Linked DNA regions of Caenorhabditis elegans. The protein of the gene in region 4 interacts with the protein of the main gene of each other region in a pairwise test. Each region holds a gene or a part of one and is shown on either strand. Other genes may lie near its edges.

The links.
Region 1: the proteins of rnf-1 (region 4) and ubc-20 interact in a two-hybrid assay, tested with the Caenorhabditis elegans proteins (one study listed by BioGRID).
Region 2: the proteins of rnf-1 (region 4) and rpl-36 interact in a two-hybrid assay, tested with the Caenorhabditis elegans proteins (2 studies listed by BioGRID).
Region 3: the proteins of rnf-1 (region 4) and utp-14 interact in a two-hybrid assay, tested with the Caenorhabditis elegans proteins (2 studies listed by BioGRID).

Annotation. Positions count from the first base shown.
Region 1 is NC_003281.10:186,860-191,468, forward strand, and holds ubc-20 (UBC core domain-containing protein), read left to right. Parts: upstream 1-1,978; 5' UTR 1,979-1,981; coding exon 1,982-2,101; intron 2,102-2,153; coding exon 2,154-2,249; intron 2,250-2,316; coding exon 2,317-2,399; intron 2,400-2,455; coding exon 2,456-2,582; intron 2,583-3,542; coding exon 3,543-3,716; 3' UTR 3,717-4,088; downstream 4,089-4,609. Other genes in the region: mxl-2 (Max-like protein homolog 2), read right to left, coding at 163-336, 391-556, 935-1,020, 1,074-1,265; cox-17 (Cytochrome c oxidase copper chaperone), read left to right, coding at 4,138-4,230.
Region 2 is NC_003281.10:7,178,661-7,181,163, reverse strand, and holds rpl-36 (Large ribosomal subunit protein eL36), read right to left. Parts: upstream 914-2,503; 5' UTR 913-913; coding exon 793-912; intron 743-792; coding exon 548-742; 3' UTR 517-547; downstream 1-516. Other genes in the region: ndab-2 (Acyl carrier protein), read right to left, coding at 11-71, 272-402; rps-14 (Small ribosomal subunit protein uS11), read left to right, coding at 1,585-1,732, 1,776-1,891, 1,940-2,134.
Region 3 is NC_003279.8:5,422,414-5,430,010, reverse strand, and holds the start of utp-14 (Small-subunit processome), read left to right. Parts: upstream 1-1,553; 5' UTR 1,554-1,570; coding exon 1,571-1,722; intron 1,723-1,774; coding exon 1,775-1,975; intron 1,976-2,020; coding exon 2,021-2,120; intron 2,121-2,201; coding exon 2,202-2,599; intron 2,600-2,650; coding exon 2,651-2,768; intron 2,769-2,781; exon of another isoform or gene 2,782-2,813; coding exon of another isoform or gene 2,814-3,572; intron 3,573-3,617; coding exon of another isoform or gene 3,618-3,647; exon of another isoform or gene 3,648-3,738; intron 3,739-3,813; coding exon 3,814-4,333; intron 4,334-4,392; coding exon 4,393-4,649; intron 4,650-4,702; coding exon 4,703-4,849; intron 4,850-6,805; coding exon of another isoform or gene 6,806-7,225; intron 7,226-7,597. Other genes in the region: atp-3 (Oligomycin sensitivity conferral protein), read left to right, coding at 205-264, 388-700, 745-842, 1,019-1,234; F27C1.3 (Dauer Up-Regulated), read right to left, coding at 2,814-3,572, 3,618-3,647; F27C1.4 (uncharacterized protein), read right to left, coding at 6,806-7,225.
Region 4 is NC_003279.8:6,009,251-6,013,277, forward strand, and holds rnf-1 (RING-type domain-containing protein), read right to left. Parts: upstream 2,337-4,027; 5' UTR 2,221-2,336; coding exon 2,214-2,220; intron 2,162-2,213; coding exon 2,088-2,161; intron 2,040-2,087; coding exon 1,865-2,039; intron 1,819-1,864; coding exon 1,627-1,818; intron 1,577-1,626; coding exon 1,434-1,576; intron 1,390-1,433; coding exon 1,273-1,389; intron 1,226-1,272; coding exon 1,142-1,225; intron 1,094-1,141; coding exon 1,007-1,093; intron 961-1,006; coding exon 859-960; intron 790-858; coding exon 625-789; 3' UTR 532-624; downstream 1-531. Other genes in the region: C06A5.8 (RING-type domain-containing protein), read right to left, coding at 1-40, 91-170, 220-268; ints-1 (Integrator complex subunit 1 RPB2-binding domain-containing protein), read left to right, coding at 2,808-3,003, 3,058-3,320, 3,379-3,743, 3,969-4,027.

The DNA.
Region 1 (4,609 bases), on a different chromosome or scaffold from region 4:
ATGTCCACTGAAGTTACTCAGAAGCTTCTGGATCGAGTTCTTCAATTAACTACCAAAAGTTAATTTTATGTTCCAAACTATTTTCTTTTTTGTTGTTAAATTTCATTTTTACGCGTTGAATAATACATTTGTTGATTAAAAATCTGGAAATTCTTCTCAATACTATGGCGAAGTGAAGGGCATTGTGACCATTTTTCCGGCTGTCGACTTGAATGGCTCCGCATTTGGCGCCAGGCTCTCCACCCACGACAGGAGCGTTCTGGTGATCGTTGCGTACGTGGTGAAGTCCACTTGGGAGGAGAACGAGGTGAAGCAGTCGTCGAGGAGAAGTTGGAGCTGAAAGTTGGAGAATTTCGACTTAAAAATCTGGAAATTTCAGTAAATTCTAACCATTTTGACTTGAATCGTGGACTGGCCGGCGTCAGGAACCGAAGAAGCCATCTGCTCGTACTCTGAGGCAATCATTTCCAGTGCGGCCGCTTGTGCGTTGAGCTGGGCCAGTTGCTTGTCGGCGTCGGAGATGTCGGTTTTCAGTTGGGACATGAAGTCGCAGGCTCTGGAAATTATTGAATTTTCGGGGAAATTTGCAGAATTTTGAAGGTTTTTAAGCAAAAAATGGGCTTAGCAGACTGGAATTGTGATTTTTCCCGCTGAAAAACACGAAATTCTTGAAAAAAATCGTGCTTTTTAATGTAAAAAACTTGAAATTGTCATCAAAATTCGATAATTTCGCAATTTGGGTATGCTAAATCCACGTTGGTCTGCTAATTATTTAGCAGACCCAACTATGGTCTGCTAATTATTTAGCAGACCCAAGTATGGTCTGCTAATTATTTAGCAGACCCAACTATGGTCTGCTAAATATTTAGCAGACCCAAATTTTTATGTTTTCCAGTTATTTTTCCTTCAATTTTTCAGTATTTTCAGCCAGTACCTGAATAAAATCGCGGCGTTTGTAGTTTTACATCCCAGCGAAGTCGTTGTCTGAGGAATTAAATCCTTTAAATCACTGTATCCGCTCTGAAAAGTTGAAATTTTAGCTTTTTTCCACGAATTTCCAAGCTTCAACAAACATTTATAGCTTCTCTTCGCTGCCGTTCACACCTCAAGTGCGTCGCCTTCTTTCTATCCGAGCTAAATCCGCCGGAATTCGTCGCTGGCGTGTTTGGGGCCGATGGGGAGCTCGCCGAGCCGTCCGGCGACATTAGGTCCATATCGTCCGGCTTTTGAGAGGAGCTGGCAGCTGCGGAACGGCTTCGAGACATTTTTGGGCTGAAAAACAGAGAATTTCAGTAGAGTAATTGGGAAAAAAACGAAGAAAAACGCGGATTTTTGAAATTTGGGTCTGCTGATTAATTAGCAGACCTAATTGTTCCCTGGCAAGATTTTTTTTGAAGATTTCAATCAATTCTAGATATTTTCTGAACGGGTTTCTCAATAAACAAATGGAAATTCCCTCTAAACCTTGAGAAAATTAGAAGTATTTCGGCAAAAACGTTCAATTTTCTTTTTTGAGAAAAATCATGATGCAAAAACTAAAATTCCTATAAAAACTTAATCAATCTGTGAATCGATACTTCCGATCACGGGTTTGATCGTTTGAACCCGTTTTTTCTCGGCGACAACGATGCTCCGACTTAACGCACGGTTTTCTCCGGTTTTTCCGGGTTTTTGTTCAATTTTACTGTGATTTAAGCAATTTTTCGCATAAAAATTGGTTTTTCAACATTTTTCTACATGATTTTTGATTTTTATTCACGAAAAACGATGAAAAATCGATGAAATTCGGGGAAAAACAAAAATTTCAGTTGCAAACGATGCTCCGAAATTCCGCGGCGCGCCCTGTTTATCATGAGTTGGTGTTTGAATAATTTTGATGATAATTTCAGACTTTCTCGAAGCTTTTTCGATAATTCCTTGAACTTCATGATTTTCGTCGATTTTTCAGAGTTTTTCCACTATTTTCCATCGTTTTCAGACCATGTCGAACATAGCATTCAACAGACTCCAACGAGAATGCAAAGAGGTCGTCACAAACTCGGAAATCAGCGAAACCGGAATTATGATCGAGATATTGAACGAGAATCTCACCGAAATCAAGGTAAAACGCCGCGAATTGTGTGTCGGAAATCTCAATTTTTATCGGTTTTCAGGGACACATCCGCGGTCCACCAGACACTCCATACGCCGGTGGAATGTTCGATTTGGATATTAAGATTCCAGACCAATATCCATTCTCGCCACCAAATGTACGAGTTTTTCTGCCTGGAAAGCTTGAAAATTGTCGAAATTTGTGTAAAAATCGCGGTTTTTCAGGTCAAGTTCAGCACAAAAATCTGGCACCCGAATGTCAGCTCGCAGACCGGCGTCATTTGCCTCGATATTCTTAAGGATCAATGGTAATATTGCGATTATTATTTTAAAATCGGAAAATTTAATTTATTTTCAACTTCAGGGCCGCTTCGCTGACTCTTCGCACGGTTCTCCTGTCGATTCAGGCGTTGATGTGCACACCGGAGCCCAAGGATCCTCAAGATGCCGTCGTCGCCAAGCAATACATGGAGAAGCCAGCAGTTTTCAAGGTAGCAGCGTGGAAAATTCAGAAAATTCGCGGAAAAATGGGGAAAATATTGCGAAATCCGATTAAAAAATCAATATGGGTCTGCTAAGTAATTAAGTAATTAGCAGACCCAAATCTTCCCTTATTTTGTGTGTTTTTTTGCGTATTTTGCCCCAAAAATTATCTATAATTTCCCATTTTTCAGGCCAACTCGAGTTTTGAAGCGTCAAAATTGAGAAAATTCGATGGGAAACGTGCAAAATTCGTTAATTCCCGAATTTTGGAGACAATTCTGACTGTTTTACACTGAAATGCACGATTTTCTCGGAAAATTATTGATTTTTGCCCTGAAATTTCAGAATTTGGCCGATTTTCTTTAGAATTTGGGTCTGCCAACTAATTAGCAGGCTTGTAGAAACGCCACGTGGTTTTCGATGGTCTGCTAAATATTTAGCAGACCCAAGTATGGTCTGCTAAATAATTAGCAGACCCAAGTATGGTCTGCTAAATAATTAGCAGACCCAAGTATGGTCTGCTAAATATTTAGCAGACCCTAATCCCGTATTTATCCTTTAAATTTAGTTTTTTTCGCGGAATTTACTGGTTTTTTCTTGTTTTTCAACCAGGAAATCGTTCAAATTCATCACTTTTTGTCCCAGAAGCCGAGAAAAATCAGTTTTTCAGCTCATATCGAAATTTGTTTTTCAAAAAGAAATTATAAAAAAGTTTAGCAGACCCAAAACTCAACAAATTTGGCGAAGTTGTTTTTAGTCTAAAAACTCGAATTTCCCCGAAAATTCGTTGTTTCCAGTGAGTGTAAAAACTCGAGAAATCTCAAAAAAAAAATTGGTTTTCATTCGAATTTTCTCAATTTCCACGCTTGAAAACTTTAGGTAGCCTAGAAAATAGACAAACATAGACAACATAAACTGAATAATAGCCTAATATGCTCTTAATATACTAAATTTCCACCATTTTTCAGGCCACCGCCGAGTACTGGACGACAAAATTCGCAAAGGGAGCCGTGAAAAACGCCGGATACCAGGCTCTCGTCGACAAGCTCAAGGATATGGGAGTCCGTGAGGAAGAGGCTGTCAGCGTGCTCAGCTGCAACAATTGGGACATCAATCGCTCGACGGTCTACATTTTCTCTTAAATTCTTTTTTATTCGATTTTTTTGAATTTTTTCTGTGAGCCTCTTGTCTTGAAGTTTGTGTCCTAAAAATCCCTTATTTCTTCCATTTTTTTCCGAGAAATTTTCGTCCCCAACCCCCCGCACCACTGGTATTTCTTTTTACCAATTCGTACCATCCTCACCCCAAAAAAACCGATCAGAATAGTAGATTTTCCGCCTGATTTGTGTGTGTTTTGCCTATTTATTATCGATATTATTCATTGAAATTTCCCCCCTTTGACCCCCATTTTTTTTGCAACGATACTCTTTCCATGAATTATATTGACGGAGTTGTAGCTGCAATTTTTATCCGATTTTCTGAAAATTTTTGGCGAATGTCGTTTTTAATATCTTTAAAACTCCATTTTTATCTGTAAAATCTATAATTTTAGCACCCAAAAAAATGCCAGCAGAGCCACAAAAATCCACAGAAGCCGGCAGCGTGGCACCGGAGAAGAAGCTGAAAGCGTGCTGCGCGTGTCCTGAAACGAAACGAGTGAGGTTTTGATGGAAAATGGAAAAATGGCGAAAAATTCCAATTTTGCGGTTGAAAATCGCTAAATTTTACATTTCGACTATCCAAAACTGATTTTTCCGAGTTTTTGCATCAAAAATCGAGAATTTCTGGGAAAAAACTCAATTTTGAACATAAATTCGAAAAAAAATGGGTCTGCTAAATATTTAGCAGACCCATTTTTGGTCTGCTAAATATTTAGCATACCCAACTTTGGTCTGCTAATTATTTAGCAGACCCAAGTATGGTCTGCTAAATATTTAGCAGACCCCAGTATGGTCTGCTAAATATTTAGCAGACCCCAGTATGGTCTGCTAAATATTTAGCATACCCAATTTTGGTCTGCTAAACATTTTGCAGA
Region 2 (2,503 bases), on a different chromosome or scaffold from region 4:
TTTCAGCTACCTGTTTGAATGTGAGTTGCTTTGGGGGGTCGAATGGTCCGAAGACTTCAATTTTGCTTCCCCTGAAAATACCGACCTTTTTTTCTAAAGAGTATGTCTGAACTCCAAAAATCAAAACTTTAATGTGGAAATTGTTTTATCGTTACTCAGTTTGATTTAAAAGGTAGTTCTCTTTTTCACTTATTTTCCTCAAAAAACCTTCTTCTACAAATAAGCATTTGCCTTGATTTTTAGCACCACAAAATTTCCTGAAGAATGTTACCTAGTTTGAATGAAATTTACAGATGGAGCCACGAGCTTGACCATTTGCGGCACCGAAGCTGACACAGATCTCCGTTGAACTACCACCGAGGCAGTTCTGAAAACGACGCGTCCAACTTGACGACCAAACATTTTAACCCTTCTAAAAGAATGAGGTTCTTTCATAATCCATAACTATCTATCCTCAAGTAATTGAGGCGAATCCACGCATTCTTTCAAAGTCAGAACAAGAAAAAACGAGATTTTGGATAACAACAATTTATCAACAGCAACAAAATTATTTGTGGGCTTTGCGTTGAGCGATGATGACGTTTTGGAGTTCCTCTCTCTTTCCCTTAGCACGACGGTGGGTTCCGATGCGTCTCTTCAAGAACTTGAGGGCGCGCTTGTCCTTGGAGATACGAAGCATTTCCAGAACGCGACGCTCGTATGGAGCGAATCCGGTGATCTCACGAACGAGCTCTCGGACGATCTAAAAACTTTAATAAATATTTTAATCCGAAAAATTGGATAATAACAAACCTTGGTCTTCTTGGAGGCGACTCCCTTGTGTCTGTTTTGACGCTGCTTAACTGGAAGTTGGGTAGCAGCATGTCCCTTGTTGAGACCGACGGCCAAACCTTCAATTCCTGGTCCGCTCATCCTGAAATTATACAAAATAATTAGTTTAGGAATACGATTAGAGTTGCGATTAAGTTACGAGAAATAAACTAGCGAACATATATCCTATTGGTACAAATTAAATAAAAAATCACAAATTTGCCGCATATATAGGTAAAAAACTTTGGAAATTTATCGAATTGATGCCCAATTTGGCCTTGAAAGAAGATCTCTCAAAAATCAATATGTGAGACGTGAAAACACCCATATAGTGTGATTTTTCAGTGTAAAATAGTTTAACCAATTTAATTTGGTGTTTTTAGACGAAATTTTAACAAGAAATTCCTGTAAAAATCGTGAAAAAATCGAAAAAACCAGCATCCTATTATCGTCGGCGGGGCGAAACAAGAGAAAATGGAAAATCGTGGTGAGACCATTGGCTGCGTAGCGACTTTTTCCATGGAAATGATACGCAGCCAAAACATTTTCTGTGTAAATCGTATTTTTCGATTTTCTTTTTCGATTTTTAAAACGTTTTTATGGTGAAATGTTGAGAATTTCTTTAAAAATCAATGAGAATAAATTTTACAAGACGTATTTTATTAATTATATATAATTTTTACTCGGCTTATCATAAATTTTTTTTTCTCCGTTGTCCTCATTGCCATAGTTAGTAAAATATTTAATCAAGGAATTCAATTTTAGTCTTGGATAATGGCTCCCGCTCGTAAGGGAAAGGCTAAGGAGGAACAGGCTGTCGTGTCCCTTGGACCACAGGCCAAAGAAGGAGAGCTCATCTTCGGAGTCGCTCACATCTTTGCTTCGTTCAACGACACTTTCGTCCACATCACCGATATCTCAGGTAAAATTATAATTTTGAAACAAAAATTATCAAATAATTTTAGGACGTGAAACCATCGTTCGAGTTACCGGAGGAATGAAGGTCAAGGCCGATCGTGACGAGTCATCGCCATACGCTGCTATGCTCGCCGCTCAAGACGTCGCTGATCGTTGCAAACAAGTGAGTTAAATTTTTATCAATGCTACTGCAATAAGTTAATGTTTTCAGCTCGGAATCAACGCTCTTCACATCAAGCTTCGTGCTACTGGAGGAACCAGAACCAAGACCCCAGGACCAGGAGCTCAGTCTGCTCTTCGTGCCCTCGCTCGCGCTGGAATGAAGATTGGAAGAATCGAAGACGTTACCCCAATCCCATCCGACTGCACCAGAAGAAAGGGAGGTCGCCGTGGACGTCGTCTCTAAGTTGTTACTTGTTATTCGAAAGAATACATTGTTCAAAAGAATTTATTTGCGTTACACACTGAAAATGGCGTAGACCGAAAAACGTTTAGTCGATAATATAGTTAAGTATGCTCTGGCTGGGAGTTTGTTCAGATCGAAGGCTCAGCTACGTTTAAAATGCTTGCTTCGAGAATTTATCAATAACTGGTATTATTTGTTGAAGAAGTAGAATTCCAAATATTGAAGATAGCCTTGTCGTAGTTAATAGCACCTGCCTGGCCAGTTGCCACTATTCTGATATTTCCTTTGATCTCGATAATTTTCTTTATTCGATATATGTAGTTAAAGTATACTGATGCTACTCCAACTGCAAAATTGTACGATGAAATC
Region 3 (7,597 bases), 590 kb from region 4:
TTGCAAACAAGAAAACTCCACAAAAAAAATTGTCTAAAAATTGCAGCACCAAATGCGCTCTACTGAACTGACAGCCGGTGATTTGGCTGCGTACCTTGGCTTATGGTTAAGAGAGTGATACTCAGCCAACGACCGCCCTTTTTCTCTTGAAATTAGCTTTCAGTTCTTTTTTATCGAATTTCAGTTAAGTTTTTGTACTATTTTATGCGAATTTTTATCCCAAGCAAGCCTCTTTACCTATATTTGACTATTCTTCACGAAAAAGTATGTAAAAATCCACTCTTTATTATTTTTTTCTTAATTAAATTTAAAAAGTTGTTTTAATTAATTCGTTTGCTTGCATACATTTATTAAATTTAAATTTTGCCTAATTTCTTAATTTTGCAGGTAATGGCGCAACTCATGAAACGCGGATTCTCCACGAGCGCTGCTCTCGCTAAGGCTCAGCTGGTGAAGACCCCGATTCAGGTTCATGGAGTCGAGGGACGTTACGCCGCCGCTCTTTACTCAGCCGGACACAAACAGAACAAGCTCGACCAGATTTCCACAGATCTGAACAATGTTCGCTCCGTGTACAAGGACAACAAGAAGTTCCAAGAGTTCGTCCTCGACCCAACTCTCAAGGCCAACAAGAAGAAGACCGCCATCGAGGCTATCTCAACTAAATTGGGGCTTACCAAAGAGACTGGAAACTTCCTTGGTATTTTGTTAACGTGTAATTACAAATTTAATTGTAACTTTCAGGACTTTTGGCTGAGAACGGACGTCTGAACAAGCTCGAGTCAGTTGTTTCTTCATTCGAATCCATCATGCGCGCTCACCGTGGAGAACTTTTCGTTCAGGTACTTTTATTATAACTGCCAAGAAAAACAATGTTTCTTTTGAAATTTGTTTTCGTAAAATTATAAAATATGAATAGCGAATGTTTTCAATACGTAGAAATGGAAATTTTCAAGTCTAAATTTTAATCCTGAAGATGCTCGTACGTACCGTTTTAAAAACTAAAAATCATTTTCAGGTCACCTCCGCCGAAGAATTGAGCTCATCAAACCAGAAGGCATTGTCTGATGCCCTTAGCAAGATCGGAAAGTCTGGACAAAAGCTCACGGTGACTTATGCCGTCAAGCCATCGATTCTTGGAGGACTTGTTGTCACTATCGGAGACAAGTACGTCGATCTGTCGATCGCTTCCCGTGTCAAGAAATACAAGGATGCCCTTGCCACCGCCATCTAAATTTTTCCCAAAAAATTTAGTTCCTCATCCCGATTTTCAATCTGTGCTTCAAACCAGTTCCCTGCCTCATCATACCCAATCATTGAAGATGGTGTTTTAAAGAGTTGTTTAGTAATCGGTTTTATGTATTGTCTTCATTTTCTAGTGGGTCATAACATCAGCAGTGTAATTGTTTGTTCCAGAATTTTAAGTTTCTTTATTGTACTCTCAACAAATAAATAAATAGATCTGTGAAAAATTTCAATTATATTGACCTCGTTCTGTCGGTTACCATTTACTTCTTAATAATGTTTTGAAAGAAAACAGAATAAAATTATAGAAATTTGAGAAACAGAAATGAGTGATGACTCGGATCTTGATGACGTTGCTCATCAGAAGCTTCTGCAATCAATTCACACACCTGGAACTGTAAAGAAAAATCGTCTGAAGAAAGCATCAAAAACAAAAACCGACGCAACTTCTCTTCTATCTCATCTTACAGTTTCAAGGTATTTGAAAAACAAATTTTTTTTTAAATTTAGGATTTTTGCAATTTTACAGACCTTCAACCAACAAAGCCAAGCAAAGTCTCGGAATTGGTGGCCTAGAGTCGACAGAAAAAACAGGAAAGAAGCGAAAATCGGAAGCAACAGCAGATGAAACAACTACGAAAAAGAAGCTGAAAAGCAAAACATTAATTCCTCTAAAAGATGTTGAAGCTCGAAAGGAGATTGAAGGAAAAATTGCGTTCACTGATTTGAAGTGAGATTATTGATTTGTGATTTAATTAATAAGATATTTTTACAGAAAAGAAGTGACACAAAATTGGACAGAGCTCGTTCAAAGCAACCGCGTCAGTGATCAATTGATCTTCCCTCTCACAAAACCGGATGGAATTATGTGGGGTGTAAGTTGTTGCTTCCAAATTAAACTGTTCTAAAATTTAATAAAAGTGGAAAAATTGCTCCTAATAATTATTTTCGTTCAGGACGAGAAAACCGAGCCCGTACTGACCGAAAAGGAGATGGAATTGATGAAGGCTACAGATATTAAAATGGCAAAAGATCGTCTTTCACAAATGCAACGAATGCGTGCTATTGTTGGAATCCAAGAGGCCAAGAATCGATATATGAAGAAAATCAAATCGAAAGGATATCATCGAATTCTAAAAAGAGAAAAACGAAAACAACTTTTAAAAGAGTTTGATGATTTGGTTGCTCGTGATCCATCCGCTGCTCATGAAAAACTTGCCGAAATGGATTTACAGCGAATCATGGAAAGAGGAAGTTTGAAGCATCGCGGACAGAATCAGAAATTCAAACAGATGCTGGAAAAACATGCTAGCCGAAATCCAGAGGTCAAAAAATTGCTCGATGAGCATTTGAGGTTAGATATTAATTTTGGAACAAAAATTTTAAAATGGGAATATTTTTTCAGAATGGGAAGAGAATTAAAAGCAAAAGTCGCAACTACCGCTGAAGATTCTGATGGTGAAGCTCCAACTTCAACGGAAGATCCACAAAATAAAAAGAAGAGTATTCATGAGTTAATCAAGGTAAGTGAGACATAAACTACTAATTCATTAGACGGATTCAAGTTCTCAATAAGCTTTCTTCTTATCTGCACCGAAAACATCTTGATTGAGACCAGCCAGGGTTTGGTAGTTCGGGTCATGAGTTGCAGCCTTAGCACCATGTTGAGCAGGAGCTTTTGGTGGAGCTGGTGCACCATTTCCTCCTCCTCCACCTCCACCAACACCACCTTTTTGATCGAACACGTTGTTATTCAAACCAGCAAGAGTCTGATAGTTTGGATCGTGTGTTGCAGCCATTCCAGGTTTACCTCCTGCTGCTGGAGCCTGTGGTCCTGCTCCACCACCACCTTTCTTATCGAAAACATTATCATTCAAGCCGGCAAGAGTTTGATAGTTAGGATCATGAGTTCCGGCCATTCCTGGTTTTCCGTCCGGAGCTTTTGGAGCAGCTCCACCACCACCACCGCCTTGTTTTTGCTCAAAAACGTTATCGTTCAATCCGGCCAATGTCTGGTAGTTGGGATCATGGGTGTCAGCAATTGCAGCACGATTTTTCGGAGGCTTTGGAGCTCCGGCAGGAATCTTTCCCTTTTCCTTGGCTGCTGCTTTTTTCTTTTTTGCCGCAATCGCATCGTTTTTCTTCTTTTTACGACGCTTTTCATCATCCTCATCATCGTCATCATCATCACCTCCAGTAGTTCCTCCAGTTGTTCCTGTTTCATCTGAGTATTTTTTCTTTCCTTTCGACTTCTTCCCGCAGTTCACCAGAATAGCTGCCGGAACTGTCCAACACAGAGCAAGTTGCAGAAGTATCATAAAAATTGGCTGAAATTTTTATATTTTTTGGATTTTTTAGTTTTCAAACAATACCTGTAAACCAAATAACTCCATGCTCATCATTTGTGATATAGTTATCGATATATCCACAACTGTAGTTTGAGATCGAAGAAATAAAAATAAAAGAGTTATCAAGTAGAGGATTTTGAAAAATGATGATTTATTCTTCACGTAGTAACATTCTATTTTTTAAAATTTTATATTTAAAATTAATTTTAAAAAATTTCAGGATGCCGCCCAAGAAGCGGAGAAAGAATCCAGAAAACAAGTTGGCACGGCTCTAGTTGATACTTTCCTCGAAGACTCCGATGCTCAAAAAGTGACACTTGCTCAGATGCGAGCCAAGAAACGACAAGAAGCTGCTATAACTCGAAGTATTTCAGCGAATACTGGTGCATCACGTGAAAATCCTCTATTCGACGTCGATGACACTTGGCAAGAGAAAGAAGATGCGAAAAAGGCAAAGCAGAAGAAAAAGAAGCTACTAAAAGCGAAGGAGTCAGCGAGAAAAGGAACAATTGGAAAAGTATCATATGTTGATAAGAATTATGATCCGAAGATGGAGGCTAAACGTGCAGAAACTTTTGATGAAAAAGTGGAAAAGGCAGTGGATTCAGCTGGAGTGCATGCCGCTGAAAAACGACAAAAGGAAATTGAAATCGATCCGAGCAAATTTCTAGAGCTCAACACAAACGACTTGACACAAGTTTCGTCGGATTTTGTTGAGAAAATGGATCAGTTTGATGAAGGTAAGCTTAATCTTTTTTTTTCTTTTTATTAACTATATTCCAACGATTTTTTCCTGCAGAAGCCGCTCAAGTTATCAATGAAGCTTTCAAGGATGATGACGTCATTGGAGATTTTGAAGATATGAAAGAAGGAGTGAAAGAAAAGGAAAAAGTTAAAGATGTAGATCTCAATTTGGCCGGATGGGGCTCATGGGTTGGACCAGGAATGACTGAGAAGAAGCGACGCCAAAACTTTGTGATTAAAGCAAAAGAGAAGAGAAGAAGGGACGGAGAGAGAAACGGAGTAATTATTGCTGAAAATATGACGGCTAAGGATGTAAGCACCTGATATATCTCCTAGATTTTTTAATTGCAAAAATGAGCTTTCAGGGTATCGGAAAGATCCAGCCACGTTCTCTACCATTCCCCTACTCCCGAGTTGAAGACTATGAGGCTGTGCTAAAACAACCGTTGGGTCTTGAATGGAATATGGAGAAGATGCGAGATGAGTTGTGCAAACCTGCGGTTGTTGTTGAGGTAAGCTTTATTATATTTTACAGTTTTATTGAACATGAAAATTATGTTGAAACAAAGAGAAGGAGAAGAGAACCGTGAACAGTGGAAAAAAACGAGTGAAAACAAGGAAAGAAAGGCATTGGACTGGGAGTGTGTGATGGGTTGGACCTGAATTGTTTCAAACAAAAAAAAAGTTGATAAAACAACAGATGAAGTGGTTATAAGTAGGGAAAACATGAATAATTTAAAAATAATTAGTTTTGATCATCCGAACTAGACGAAGATCTTGCGAAGTCAATGACATGGCAACGATTCCTCCAAATCAACGAAAACGTTTTCTTCCGTGGTGATTCCTCGAGCGTACTCGTACATTATGACATACAAAGCATGATCATCGAGCATATCGTAGTCTTCCTTCTCGTCCAGTTGTTCCTTGGAAGATGCTTCCACCTCTGCAGGCTCTAAAGTCTCTAGCTTCTCTGGTACAGCTGGTTCTTCTTGTTGTGGAACCTCTACGAGTTCGACTGGAGTAGTGTCTTCAGTAACCGCGTTGACAAGTGTTCCGACGGTTTCAGCTGCAGATGTGACCATTTCTGATACGGAATTCCAGATGGAGGTTGCATAGGAGAAGTAAGACATTTTGAGAACTTGTGGTTCTGAAAATGAAATAAGTTTTAGTCATTTTAGATAAGGAAAATATGAATAGAAGGGCTGAGGAAACAAACACGCAATTTCATAATCTATTGTGCCAAAAAAGGGATAGTTACGAAATCGAGGTAATATGGAAATCAAACTACATAGAAGAAATTAAGAACATAGAGCCTAGGTAAAAAAAACGACGGACGACTGAACACCCAACGTATGGCAGGCTGCCAAATAGGCGTGACTGTGCACAAAAACGCTCGATCTGATGTAACAGTATACACCTTTGTAATCAATAACTTTCTGGCGGCTAACGAGACCATTTGATTATTATTCCAACATAGTAGAGGAAGAGAAGAGACAATATAGAGTCCCAGAATATGGATCAATATAATAGGTTTTTGAGAGTTGGTCTTTTTAAATTTGGTTTAGAAATAAGTTTCGATAAGTTTTTAAAGAATACAATTTTTAAAATCTTCATATTATTTAAAAATGTAAATCGAAAATAATGAAAGAAGAAACTGTATATATTAGAGAATCGAGTAGTAGTAGTGTTTAGAGAATTAGAGATAAAAAAATACAGTACCCCTATGAGACTCAGTGCAACCTTGCATATGCTCCCCTAAAATCATATGCAACTATTTGGTTTTTTTTAAAATCAAATTGCACAATATTTCGAATTTTCAGCCGAAAGAAAAATTCAAAAATTCTTGCAACTTTTGTTCACAATAAATTTTTTCAAAACTGATTTTGATATAATTTCGGAATAGGGACCACTTTTTACATTTGAGACAGCTCTTTTCGATTTTAAAATATTTAGAAAGGTGTATAATGTCACAAAATATAAGCGAACATCTATCATCTGTGCATATATATGCACTGGCACGGGAGACAGGAACCGAACGGCACATGTGACGAGTTCATTTTGATGTCACAAGCTTTTCCCTTTTTCGTTAAAAAAAAAGTAGACTATAAAAACAAACAAACACTGTTCTAACAAGAAAATATGCAAAAATGAACACGCAAACTGGCGAATGTTGTTCGAGTTGTAATAGGTTGCGAAATTAACCGATAAGAAGCTCGATATTCTGTTATTAATAGATTTTTTACATTAAGTATTGCCCATGATTTCTAACACCTCAAATCCCTGTTGTCTTTGAAATTTCTTGTCTGAAGTAGTTTTTATTGCCAAGGACATTGTAGAATTGATCACGTACGAAAGTTTATTGTGAAACATTGTGAAAACCGGTAAATATTACCGAAAACATGACATAAATTGGACAGTAATATTAAAATAGACCCGAACATGTATAGGATTTCTTCGTTCATCCCAGATCATTTGGAATTCTTCATCCACTCGTAGTTGTTTTGCACCATCTCAAATTGATTGTGCCTGATTGGACCCGTCTCGTCTGGATTCTCATGGATCACTTCCCATTCGATCGATGTATTTGGTGACGATGCTCCTATCGCCTCCTGGTGAACATCCTCTGTCGTCTCCTTTTTATCCTCTTGAAGATCAGACGACGCCGCCGCCGCCCCTTGTTGCTCCCATGAGAAGACTTCAGAAGAAGCCGTGGCATCCTCTGAGCCAGATCCCCACTCGAGAGCAGTCTGACTGATTTGTGTTAGAGCCTGTGTTGCTCCTTCGGCAAGTGCAGAAGCTCCTCCAACAAGGTTCGCTGCCTGTTCTGTGACTGCTGGGACGACGGTTGTGGACATGAAGGTGTAGAGTCCATTGACGATGGAGTTCATTGTTTAGTTGTAGTTTTCTGAAAAAAAATAATATATACAAAGAGACAAGTTAGACCGGCAACGGAAGGAAAAAAGAATGAAAGTGAAAGTTCGAACGGAGTAGGATTTACAACAGGATTGACTTCATAAAAATTTAAATCAAGTGCATGTATTTTATCCTAGTGTACTATCTGCCTAGATTTTTTGAATCTAGGTGTAATATTTACGGAAAAAAAAGAAAATGAAGAGACAAAGTAGATATATCTCCGATGTGCTCTTTCTACCACCAGAATGCGAATGGCAACTAATGACTAGTAACAGAATAAGAAAGACGAGAAGATGAAGAGGAACGCTGTGTTGTCCTTACGTTCTTCCTATGTCTCTTTCTCTTTT
Region 4 (4,027 bases):
AATGCAAACCACGAGCCAGCTTTGTCGTCTCATTGTAATTCTAAATTGGAAAGTTTAATTTTTGAACAATAAAACAAGTGGGGCACTCACAGTGCAGCAGACTTGGCATTTGAGAAACTCCTCGAGAAAATCACCTATCAGCGGGAATGCAGGCGACGCAGCCGAACTATCTGGAATTTTCGAATTTTGGAACCAGATCTTATAAAAACGAAAAATTACCTGTTACAGATGCCACATCCGCAGGCATTTCACTTTTTGTTGCGGACATTTATGGCTGAAAATGCTAAATTAAGTAGGTGATTTTTGGGAAAGAAAGGAGAAAAAAATTCAAAACTTCTTCCAAAACTTTCTACAGTAATCTTAAAGGCACATGAACAACCATGTTTGAATTATGATTTCGCGGCGAGACCTTTCCAAATAAATGTGGTTCCCTTGAAAGTCCTGAATTTTTGAATGAGAAAAAAAAACACTTTTGAAGAGAAACAAAAGCGAAAATAAAATAAAGGAAATCGCACAGATTTTTCAGGGGAAAACAAGAAGAGATCTTTATTTTCTCTATTAAAACATGTAAAACAATACAAAAATTTCAGGCGGAGACGGGATAAAATTGAATTATATAGTAATTTATTCTTCATTCAGAAGAGCAGAGAGCAGAAGAAATCTGTGAAGAACTCTGCCGGCTTCTTCTATGTGCGAATTCGGAAAGTCTTCAGTGGAAACTGAGCTGAGTGAAGATTCATTGTCGGAGAATTCTTTTTCGTCGTCGGAAAAGTCGAGGTTCCCGTTTTCCTGGAATTTTTTTCTTAATTTCAGCTGTTTTAGTTTAAAAAATAGCCGTCTGACAATAAATTTACATACATCTCCAAAAAGGCAGCGAAAACTTTTGTACGTCTCCTCTTCATCTGTTTCAGGCATAACCAATGTGGGATAGTAGTCATCGGAACATTCGGAGATATTATCCTGAATTAGAAAAAAGATTAACAATCGAATTCAAAGTCCTACTAACGTCATCGGAAAACGGACAAAAATGATCATTCTCATGATTCCCAAAACTGCCGGAAGTTGTGGAAACCTGCGAAATGCTGTCGTTGTCCTGCAAACATTTTTTCTAAAATATAAACTTGTCGACAGTGACACTTACATTTCCAAAAAGTCCTCGAAAACGTCGGTAGGCGGCCGCCTCCTCAATACCTGAAACCACACCTGGATCATCTAGTTCGTTTTCCTGAAAGATTTTTTCTATTCTAAATGTTTAACTCGATGAAAACTAACGTCTCCAAAAAGACGACGAAAATTGCGATAGAAACCGCCACCCAGTGTTCTGTCCGGGACAGTAGTATTTGATTCTAGAAAATCTGTTGAGTCTTCTGTAGTCTCAGAATCGCTGTCCTGAAAATTTTCAAATCAAGGGAGCATGGAAAATATCAACTAACTCTTGCTGCCAAGAACCTTAGCATAGTTCGAACTCGCTGATCCTCAGAATTCGCATCAGAATTGTCGTCAGAATCGTAATAACATTCAGAAACAGCCCCTGCCAAGGCTTCAGCCATGTTGCTGACCTCTCGCTCGGCTTCTGCTGAAAAAATTCAGTTTTTATAGAAAATACTTATACACATTTGGCTTTGCCTAGACTCCATAGCTGTGATTTGATGCGGAAAACGTCAAAATGGTGAATGAGACTGCTTTTTACTTCAACAAGCAGCTCGCGGAATTTATTATCAATCATTTCATCTCTATTCGTTTTATTTGAGCAGCAACTAGAGGAAGTTCGCGGAGCGTCAACTGGAGGACCCAGAAGCCCGAAATTCCTTGCCAATTCTGAGAAAAAACGTGGATTTCAATACTCAAAAGAGGTAAAACTTACCCATAATTGAAAAATTTGGTGCTACATTTTCGATGTTGCTTTTAGTTTCCGCACGGCAAGTAGGGCACTCTAAATGTGGGGAATTACCGTAGTTTTGCACGTTTCTGATGCATTCTGTGCAGAAAGTGTGGCCACAGTGCAAGGACCGAGCCAATTTTGTGGTTTCATTAAAAGGCTGCAAACATATTTTGTAGAAAATTGAGTAAAACTAGGAAATTAGTACCTGATAGCAGACTTGGCACTGGCAGTACCCAGCCAAGACTGTTGATAGAATTTCTGGATTTTCGGTATTTTTTTCTGAAATGAAATTTAATAAATTTTAATACAAACTCGAGATTGTCAATCTTACCGCTCATTTTCACGGAGATAAATACCTAGAAATTCTGAAACAAAAAGAAAGCTGGAATTTGCCTGGACACAAGCCTGGAAAACAAAAACAAATTTGGGGAGTCTAGCGGAGCGCGTTTACTGTAATTATTTTTGTCTTTTCAAAGTTTTTCATAAAACTAAACTGAATTGTCATTCCTTTTTTGTTTTTAAAATATAAATCAGTTTATTATAAAAAAATTACATTATTAATAATATTAATAATTATATATTGCGACACAAATTTTTCTCAAATTTAAAATTATTTCAGAAGTCAAGACGAAAAAACAAAGCTATTCATTATTCGAAACAATTTTTATTCGATTTTATGATAATATATATATTATTAAATTCCAAAAAGACTGTAAAATGTAAAACTCTCTCTAGCGTAGCATGTGACTTGTCGATTCCCATAAAAAAATAACCATTTAAACATCCGCGCAAAGAAATTCGCATTGGAGCGCACCTGCCTCACTCGTGCTTGTTTCGTTTTTTTATTCTCATTCAATTTCACAACCGTTTTTATCATTATTTTCCGGAAAATCTTAAGAGTTTCTCGTTTAGAATCTTATAAATAATGGAACGTAAAAAACACAAACGCCTAAATGATACGATTATGAAGCCGGAGGACATGAAAAAGGCGAAACTGAACCATAAACTCCCGACGACTAGTGGAGGCACTGGCGGACCGTCAACTTCTGGAGGAGTTAAAGCGAAGTTGGATTTTAGATCAAAAACTTGTATTCCACCAAAGCCAACGCTAAGTAATTCCGGTAAAAATTTTCAATTTTTCCCAGAAAACACCTAATAATTAAACAAATTTCCAGCAAATCCATCCCTACAATCCAGCCATCTCGTTCGCCCCAATCTCGATGATCAATGGAAAGATTTTGGAGATACAATCAATTTAAACATCGAAACCTTCCAGAAAAGCGTACAGGAGGCGATTTTAGCGGGCCATTTTACAAAAATCGCTAAAATGTTCGTCGCCGCGCTCAAGAGCTTCTTTGTCGGAGAAAAGTTGAAAGTGGAGCTCAGAATAATGGGAACAATTGCGGAAACCGTAAAAAATCATGGGGATAAGCTAAATGTTGGTTCAAATCTAACAAAAACTTGGAGAATAATTCTAATCATTGAAAAATTTTCAGCAAATTCCTCTCCACCGCGCTCTGCTCTTCGTAATTTGCAATTCTCGATCATATCCTGACAATATTCTCGAACTATTCATCTCAATAATCACTTCACTTGCAAGGCAACAACCAATTCTTGATAAATGTTATCTAACAGCATTTCTCCATGATTCTATTGGAATGAGCGTTGGACTCGGCACAATGAATCGATGCTCCTGGATTGAAAAAGAGTGCTCGGCAGAGCTTGTGAAAATGATTTTGGATCCGTTTGAAACTGTCTATCCATTTCCGGCAATGTATGCGCAGTGCCAGGTTGAGAATTTTGCCATTTCCGAATTTTTGAGCTTCTTCTCTGAAAAAGTGGGGAAGTCGAGGGAAAAAAGGTAATAAATTTACGATTTTTTAGAAAAAATTTCGCTTATATTTTTCCTAATTTAAACAGAAACAAAAAGCAGCATCTACAAACAACGGTGTAATACTAGCTGAAAAGCATTTAAAGTTTATCAAAATCTCAGAAGAAATTTTTATTCTGTGTTAGAAAAGTGGAAATAAAAAAAACAGTTTAAAGAATAAGTCAAATTTTAATTTTAATACATTTTTGATTTCAGTCCCCGCTCGAATCTTCACCAAAAGCAGTTAGACGTCTTTCTGGAATTCCTGAAGCCCT